Canis lupus familiaris: one gene and its partner. The protein of the gene in region 1 interacts with the protein of each later gene in a biochemical or structural test. Links are inferred from orthologs where the notes say so. Each region holds a gene or a part of one and is shown in the gene's direction. Other genes may lie near its edges.

Region 1 (4,346 bases):
GGGTGCGTCCATGTGTGCCTTTATCTCTGCAAGTTTGTTTGTTTTTGCATTTATGAGTAATTTCTCAGGAGTCAGGTCCTTAAGGCATCTCATGCCAGGTTGGGGGGAGGGGGGAATCTGACAAATGACAATAAAGAGTGATCAGTCAGGGTCTCTTTTAGCTTGAATACAGTGATCCTTTTGTCTTCTTTCCTCACTGGGATTTCTAAAATAAAGGGCTTAGAAAAACACTTTTAAAAGATACGGAAACTCTTCCTTCAAACAGGAATGCAGCCATCTCTTTACTGACACTTTGATCATATAAACAAGAGAACTTTTAACTCGGCTGTGAGGAGTGTGGGCTACGGATTTAGAGATGCGCCTCTGATTTGGTGAGTTGCAGAGGGGATGAAGACAAGGAAGAGTGCAAGCAGCTGAGGAGGAAAGTGAAACGAGGGAAGCATCTTGTTTCAAGTACATACCTTACTAAAAGAGTAATATATTGGTAACTGGGGGAATAGAAACAAAGTGTTCCCCCAACTTTGCAGGTAGAAACTGAAGAGATGAGGGGGAAAGGAACAGGATGTGAACACGCCCTGATTCCGTTCCAGGGAGAACAGAGCGAACGGAGAGAGAGGGTACAGGGGCTTCCAGGTTCGGGGGCGCCGGAAAGGGAGCGCGAAAGCCGAGCAGCGCCCCGGACCGCTGCCCACCCACGACGGAGAAGAGCTTTACAATTTGTGACAAGTTCCCCTTTCTGTCACGGTATTTAGGGGTTTGGATAGAGACCCGGGGGCAAGAGAAAGACAAAGGGGCTCTTCCTCAACAGTCACACCAAAGCTCCCTGGCCTCTGCCCCAATTCTGAAGTATTCTTGGAGTTAAGGGATTATTTTTCACCGGACTTGCGACTTGTGAGCCGGAAATAAACGGTCGCCTCTAAATTTATTGCACTGGCTGAGGTTAGGCACGAAATTCCCACATAAGCACATTTTCTTTTCGCTTCAAACGCTGCTCCCACCCCAGAAGCATCTGCACCCGCCCCCCGACGGCCACCCCCCGTGATAAATGCTAGGGTCCGCGAGGGCCCGCTCCCTCCGGGCTTCCCCTGGGCGTCCTCGGGCGGAGGGAGGCGGCCCCGCAGCCCCTCCGCTCCCTCCTCCCGGCGAGGCTGCCGTGCACAACAACCATTTTCCCCGCCAGGAGCACACCGTGTCCACGCGCCGCTGCGGCCTCGCTGATTGGTTGGGCTCCTGGTAAACAAGGGGCGGGCAGCCAATGGGAGGGCTGTGCACGAGGGCAGCACGAGCCTCAGGGCTAGCGCTCGCGTGGCCGGGCGAGCCCGGGCGACTATATAAAGCAGTTTCCGGCTGCTCCCCGCAACTCTCCTTCCGTCTCCTCTGGCGGGGTGGGCCGTTCGGGCTCTCCTAGAGTCGGGGCGCTCCTCCAGCTGTCGGAGAAAAGAACAGAAAGCTGATTTTTTTTTTTTTTCCCCCGGGGATCCTTCGGCATCACCCACAGCTTACATTTTTTTCCAAAATCTTTTTGAAATCTTAGCGGAGAGTTGAAGAGTGAAATAATTTTTTTGCAGAGCATTTTTGGATTTGGAGTTTTGTTTTTTCTCTCCCCCCCGTTTATAACTGTCAAGGCAGCCCAGCCAATCATGGTGATGTTCAAGAAAATCAAGTCTTTTGAGGTGGTCTTTAACGACCCTGAAAAGGTGTATGGCAGCGGGGAGAAAGTGGCCGGCCGGGTGGTCGTGGAGGTGTGCGAAGTGACTCGAGTTAAAGCTGTCAGGATCCTGGCTTGCGGAGTGGCCAAAGTCCTGTGGATGCAGGGATCCCAACAGTGCAAACAGACCTCTGAATACCTGCGCTTCGAAGACACGCTTCTCCTGGAAGACCAGCCAACAGGTGAGTGGCCCCGTTGTTTGTCGGGAGGGTGAAAGCTGATTTGAGAATAGAGTTGAAACGAATGCTTGCAGCTTATGCTGAATATTTCAAGCTGCTAAGGTTGAGTAGCTTGACTTGTATGTTGTTTCCTTTTTTAGTTTTAACTTGCAGACTCCTAAAAAAAGGGGGGGGGTGATTTGTACAGTTTCTTACAGTGTTCTGTTCTGAAGGTGATCCTGAGGTATGCTGCCTTAACTATTTAAAGGTTTTCTGTGTGCATAAGTTGCATATTCTTCGCTCGTTTCCGGTTTGAGAGGGTAGTAGCTTCACTGCCCTGGTTGAGCCTTTCATCATTGCAAGGCTTTGAAACTTTTTGCCCAACGAAATGCATCAGGATCTCTCAAGAACAGAAGGGGGTGAAAATAGGGGACCTGCAATAGACTTGCATGCTGCCCAGGAATTCCTTATCACACAGATGCATTTGAAGTGAAACAAGAAACCTGATGGGCTATTCTTTCTTCTTTCTTCTCAGGTGAGAATGAGATGGTGATCATGAGACCTGGAAACAAATACGAGTACAAGTTCGGCTTTGAGCTTCCTCAGGGGTAGGTGTCTACTAAATGCATCTTTGGACTTTCTTATCTCTAAAATTCGCCACCTTTGATCACCTGTTCTTGGAGAACAGTTTTAGATTGCTTCTTTTTTCTTGACACAGGCCTTTGGGAACATCTTTCAAAGGAAAATATGGGTGTGTAGACTACTGGGTGAAGGCTTTTCTTGATCGCCCCAGCCAGCCAACTCAAGAGACAAAGAAATTCTTTGAAGTGATGGATTTAGTGGATGTCAACACTCCTGATTTAATGGTGAGGTTCATTTAAAAATTATGTTTTCTTGGGTTTCGGGGATGGTAAGTCGTAAGTCAAGTGTCTTAGGCATTAGACTGATGTACCTCAGGGGATCCAGTCCTAAATGGATTACCAAGGTGGGAGGGAAAGTTGCCTATTCTAGGTAAGGAGTAGAAAGAAAAAAGAGAAGGATCTCTAGAAAGTCTCAAAATGTCTTTTTACCCCTATTTAACACAGGCTCCTGTGTCTGCTAAAAAGGAGAAGAAAGTTTCCTGCATGTTTATTCCTGATGGACAAGTGTCTGTCTCTGCCCGAATTGACAGAAAAGGATTTTGTGAAGGTAAAAACTTAATTAAAAAGGTAGTCTGATAAAACAGGAACTGTGGGTTTGGGAGTGAGGGCAGGCTATAGGGGTAGAAGTCCTTAATTGTATTAAGCGTCAGCTAATAAGTTTTTGTCTTTATCATTGTTAGGTGATGAAATTTCCATCCATGCTGACTTTGAAAATACATGTTCGCGCATCATGGTTCCCAAAGCTGCCATAGTAGCACGCCACACTTACCTTGCCAATGGTCAAACCAAAGTGCTGACACAGAAGTTGTCATCTGTCAGAGGCAATCACATCATTTCAGGAACCTGTGCATCGTGGCGTGGCAAGAGCCTTCGGGTGCAAAAGATCAGGCCTTCTATCCTGGGCTGCAACATCCTTCGAGTTGAATACTCCTTATTGGTGAGTGAATGGAGTCCAAGAAATTGTTCATCTGTCAAAATAGTCATTTCTCCAAACCTCTAGTCTAACTAACTGTCATTTTTCCTTTCTAGATCTATGTTAGTGTTCCTGGCTCCAAGAAGGTCATCCTTGATCTGCCCCTGGTAATCGGTAGCAGATCAGGTCTGAGCAGTCGGACATCGAGCATGGCCAGTCGAACCAGCTCTGAAATGAGTTGGATAGATCTCAATATTCCCGATACCCCAGAAGGTGAGCCAGACCTAATGTTTTTTCTTCCTTTTTGACCTGCTTGGGTTTGTGAAATTGTGACGGTCAGGCATTTCTTGGCCAAACTTCTTATGCCTATGTTTTCTCTAGCTCCTCCTTGCTATATGGATATCATTCCTGAAGATCACCGATTGGAGAGCCCCACTACTCCTCTACTAGATGACACAGATGGTTCCCAAGACAGCCCTATTTTTATGTATGCTCCTGAGTTCAAGTTCATGCCACCACCGACTTACACAGAGGTGATCATTGCCATTTTACAAATTGTCCTCTAAGCCTCTTACAGGAAGTTGAATGGGAAGGACTGCTAAACTGGGTGGTTGTTTTAGTTCTTACCCAAACTAAAATAATCGTTTCTTTTGTTTCTCTTCCCCCCACTCCAGGTGGATCCCTCCATCCTCAACAACAATGTGCAGTGAACTTGTGGAAGAAAAGAAGCAGCTGTACTTAACATGTTTCTTTCTGCCTCTCTTCCTGGACTCTTACTTTCTCAGAGACTGAACAGTCTCTACAGTTGGGGTATGGGTCCACCCCAGCCTCTGACTCCCCAGTGTAGGAGGTGCTCAGCAGGCCATCTCCAGGACCTTAAATGATGGTGCGCACACATCCTCAGCCAGCGAGATGATGTGAAGTTG
Region 2 (3,804 bases), on another chromosome or scaffold:
GTCCTGGGAAGCAGATGGGAGGCGTCAGGGGCAGAATCCAGGTGAGGCCTAGGGCAGGTGTTGCGTGGGTAGAGACTAGGACAGATCCAGAGGGAGAATTGGCGGGACCTGGTGATTGACTGCGTGGGGGTGGCGGCAGGAGCGAGCGTGTCTCCCAGGCTTGTGAGGAGCAGGTGAGGAGCGAGCTTTCGGGAGCACAAGCCAGGCTCATGGAGGCTGCCGGTGACCCTGTGGTGGGACTGGGTCTGTGGGCTCCTTTTGAGGGAATAGGCTCTTTTTCAGGTAAGGGCACTCAGCTGCGGCTGGGATGGATGGGGAGGTCAGCCAGTGGTGGAAGGTGACCCCAGAACTCCTCCCCATGGAGGATTCTTCTGATTGTTCAGGGACTTGCCGCCTTTCCCGGGCCAAGGGCCAGCTCAGCCCCATGTGGGGCATAGACCCCCGGCAGCGAGAGGACACAATGTTCCCACACCAGCAGCAGAAATGGAAAACCAAGCCTAGCTTCTTCCCAGAAATGTCAGGTGTCAGATCAAAAGGCAGGAAGCCCCAGCACAGCCTCAGCCTGGCCAGGAAGGGCTGCTGCGGGGTGGAAAGGACGAGCCTGAGGCCACAGGGAAGGCAAAAGGGGCTGGCTCCCTACCCTCACCCACCCCCATAAAGTGGTCTGAGTAGCAGGGTTGCTCATGAGCCCCTGAGCTAGCTCTGGACAAGGCTTGGTCCTTCTGACTTGTTACCACCAGCGCACCCTTAACCGGGGCTGGAGAGCCCCCGGGAATGTGGTCCTCTTGTTGGCTGCCTCAACATCTCCAGCCAGCCTCAAGAAGAGGGTTAAAGACCTGAAAGCTCAGCCTCACATGTTGTAGCTCACTTAGGTAGTAAGGCCTTACTCAGCACTTGTTGACTCTTTGCACGCAGTTCAGGCAATTCCATTAGCAGACGACTTGGCAAAAATCAGAATGATACGTGGAGAGTTCTCTTGAGATAGCATCTGAACCACGGGGGCGCACAGGGAGACCCTGAGAACTACAGGAGGCAAAAATTAAAGACTATCTGGGACAAATACCTCTCCCTGCCCCTGTAGAGAGCCCCAAGGGCAGCAGAGTGAGATCGGCAGAAGGGAGAGAGATTTCCACCCCGATGATGGGTCCTCAGTGGGGCGAGTGTCATTTATCTGGACCGTCCCCTTGTCCAGGACAGCTTGTTCTCTGCAGATCCTGATAAATGGAGCATTACTTCTCCCAACCAGTCCTTCTCTGAGGTTGGTTCTATCCCTTGAAGAACAGAAGCACTTTGTTTTGTTTTGTTAAAATCTGCCTTTCTGCCCCCAGCGGAAGCAGGGGCTCCCAGGAGGAGAGCCTAAGTAAGGCCCTCTCCTCATTGACCCTTCCATCCACTCATCAGGATAGGCCCCCGTGTGAATCCAGTAGGCTCCCTGCCCTCAGACTTCTGGGACCCTTTGAGCTGGATCTCAAAAGGTTTCAGCATGGTAAGGTGGCCGGTTGGGCGCTCTGGGCCAAGTAACCATGGATAGTGTGGAAACGAGCCCTAGAGCTGGGGTAGAGATGGGGGCAGGTGGGGACATGGGGGCTGATCTCTGGCCCAAGCCTTGATTTTTAATTAGGGGCTGCAGGGTTGGTAGGGCTTGGTCAGTGGTCTGCACTGCCCTTGGGTTGGTTCCAGAACCGTCCCTTGACTCGGTGACGATGCTGGGCACTGTGCAAGCACTCTCTGTCTCATTAATCCCTTACAGCACTATGACATGCATCCTGCTACTGTCGCCGTCCCAGATGACATGATTTGCCCTCAGTCGCAGTGGCAGAGTTGTCTAGGTTCCTCACCCCTGCGCTGTCTGGCTTCTCGGGACCCATAAGTAGATAATTAGGGCCACCTCCCTCCCCTCCCCACACCCATGTCAACCCATCCTAACCCCTGGAGCCTGGCCTCCTGTCGGGTGTCTGCAGACCTGGGATAGACCGTGGCAGCAGGGCAGGAAACAGAGGCCAAGGACCCATCACAACCGTGAGCATTTCTGGGACTGAGGGCCTCGGTTTCCCCCTTGGCAATTGTGGCTACCCACCGCCTTCCGTCAGACCCCTGGAGCTTGGGACGATTGGGGGTTCCAGAAGCAGTGGAGGAGGTCATGTAAGGGGTGCTGGCGGTGGGCTGGGGGCACAAGGAGCCGAGGTGGAGCTGTCAGTGGTTGAAGGGAAGAGGGCCAGTCAGGTTTGTGACCGGCGGGAGCCAGAGCATTCAGACTGAGCACGAGTATGTGTATGACGGTGCGTGTACACAGGAAGCTGTTTCTGGGCATGTTGGGCCCATGCCCAGCGCTGCGGGCAGCTGGGTGGGTCAGTCCAGTCCTGTGGCCCTGGGTGTGTGTCGGTGTCGCCTGAGAGTAGGGTGAGTGTTCTCGGGCAGAACCGGTGGATCAGGCCCAGCCCCCCTTGTGTGGGGCAGGGCTGGTGGGCAGGCGCCTGGGGCAGGTGCTTCCAGTTCCTGGAACTGCTTCCTTGTCCTTAGCCTTCCCCATCCCTCCCAGCTGGGCACCTGGCAGGGGGGAGGAGGCCATGGGTCCTTCAGGGTGAACCCCCACGAGCAGCTGGGCCTGGCGCTCAGGGAGCAGTTAGGAGAGGCTGGGGAGCCCGGCTGGAGCGCAAGGTGGTCACACCGGGCCGAGGGTGAGGGTGAAGTCAGCGAGCCTGCCTTTCCCTTTGTCCCCAAGCATCTGGAGCCAGCTGGCCAGCTGTATTTCCTCCCCAGCAGGGGGGGTTGGGGAGAGTGCCCAGGTGGCAGGAGCCTAGGGCCTCAGGCATCTTGAAGAGAAAGGGGCCAAGTGGGGGGAAGCACTTTCTCCTGAACATCTTCCTGCCCTGGGCCTGACCGTCCACCGTTGGCCATTTGCTGGCCTCCCCAGCAAGTTCTGTGGGACATGTGACACCACAGGGCCCCGGGAGCCACACCTGGGGAAGCATGACAGCCCGCACCACTCCTCGAGATGGAGCCCAGCCCCTGGTTTCTCACCTGGGGAAACTGAGGCCCACAACAGGCAGGGGCTTGGCTCAAGGACATGCAGTGAGTGGGGGGCCCGACACCTCGCTCAGCGGGCTGCTTCTCCCCCTGTAGGTGATTGAGGAGTTCTACAACCAGACATGGATCCACCGCTATCAGGAGAGCATCTCCCCCACCACGCTCACCACGCTGTGGTCCCTCTCTGTAGCCATCTTCTCTGTAGGAGGCATGATCGGCTCCTTCTCTGTGGGCCTTTTTGTGAACCGCTTTGGCCGGTGAGCAGAAGGGGTCCTGGCCCTGGCCAGGGAGGGGGGGAGAGACTTCCCTGCCCGTTCGGGGTGTTGCCTGTGACCTAGCCCCTGGGAATCTGGGGAGATCCAGGCACCCACCTGACCTGTGACCCCCACCCCCAGGCGGAACTCCATGCTGATGATGAACCTGCTGGCCTTCGTGTCCTCTGTGCTCATGGGCTTCTCGAAACTGGCCAAGTCCTTTGAGATGCTGATCCTGGGCCGCTTCATCATTGGTGTGTACTGTGGCTTGACCACAGGCTTCGTGCCCATGTACGTGGGGGAGGTGTCCCCTACGGCCCTTCGCGGGGCCCTGGGCACCCTGCACCAGCTGGGCATCGTTGTTGGCATCCTCATTGCCCAGGTGAGCTGGGGTGGGGTCTCTTTGCTCGGCACTGCCCGCACCCCACCGCTTCAGTGGCTCTCGTGTCTGTGTCCAGATGATGCCCTGACTAGAATTCTCACCCAGCCCTCCACAGCCCAGCGAGGGGCAGCCTCATGGCAC

What was found.
Region 2: the proteins of TXNIP (region 1) and SLC2A1 form a complex in vitro, tested with the Homo sapiens proteins (2 studies listed by BioGRID). The link is inferred for Canis lupus familiaris from reciprocal best matches to the Homo sapiens genes TXNIP and SLC2A1.

What each region holds. Positions count from the first base shown.
Region 1 is NC_049238.1:59,433,812-59,438,157, reverse strand, and holds the start of TXNIP (thioredoxin-interacting protein), read left to right. Parts: upstream 1-1,351; 5' UTR 1,352-1,640; coding exon 1,641-1,890; intron 1,891-2,401; coding exon 2,402-2,474; intron 2,475-2,584; coding exon 2,585-2,732; intron 2,733-2,951; coding exon 2,952-3,054; intron 3,055-3,187; coding exon 3,188-3,444; intron 3,445-3,536; coding exon 3,537-3,693; intron 3,694-3,801; coding exon 3,802-3,953; intron 3,954-4,094; coding exon 4,095-4,130; 3' UTR 4,131-4,346. UniProt on the Homo sapiens protein: May act as an oxidative stress mediator by inhibiting thioredoxin activity or by limiting its bioavailability.
Region 2 is NC_049236.1:553,094-556,897, forward strand, and holds part of SLC2A1 (solute carrier family 2, facilitated glucose transporter member 1), read left to right. Parts: intron 1-3,123; coding exon 3,124-3,284; intron 3,285-3,422; coding exon 3,423-3,663; intron 3,664-3,804. UniProt on the Homo sapiens protein: Facilitative glucose transporter, which is responsible for constitutive or basal glucose uptake. Has a very broad substrate specificity; can transport a wide range of aldoses including both pentoses and hexoses.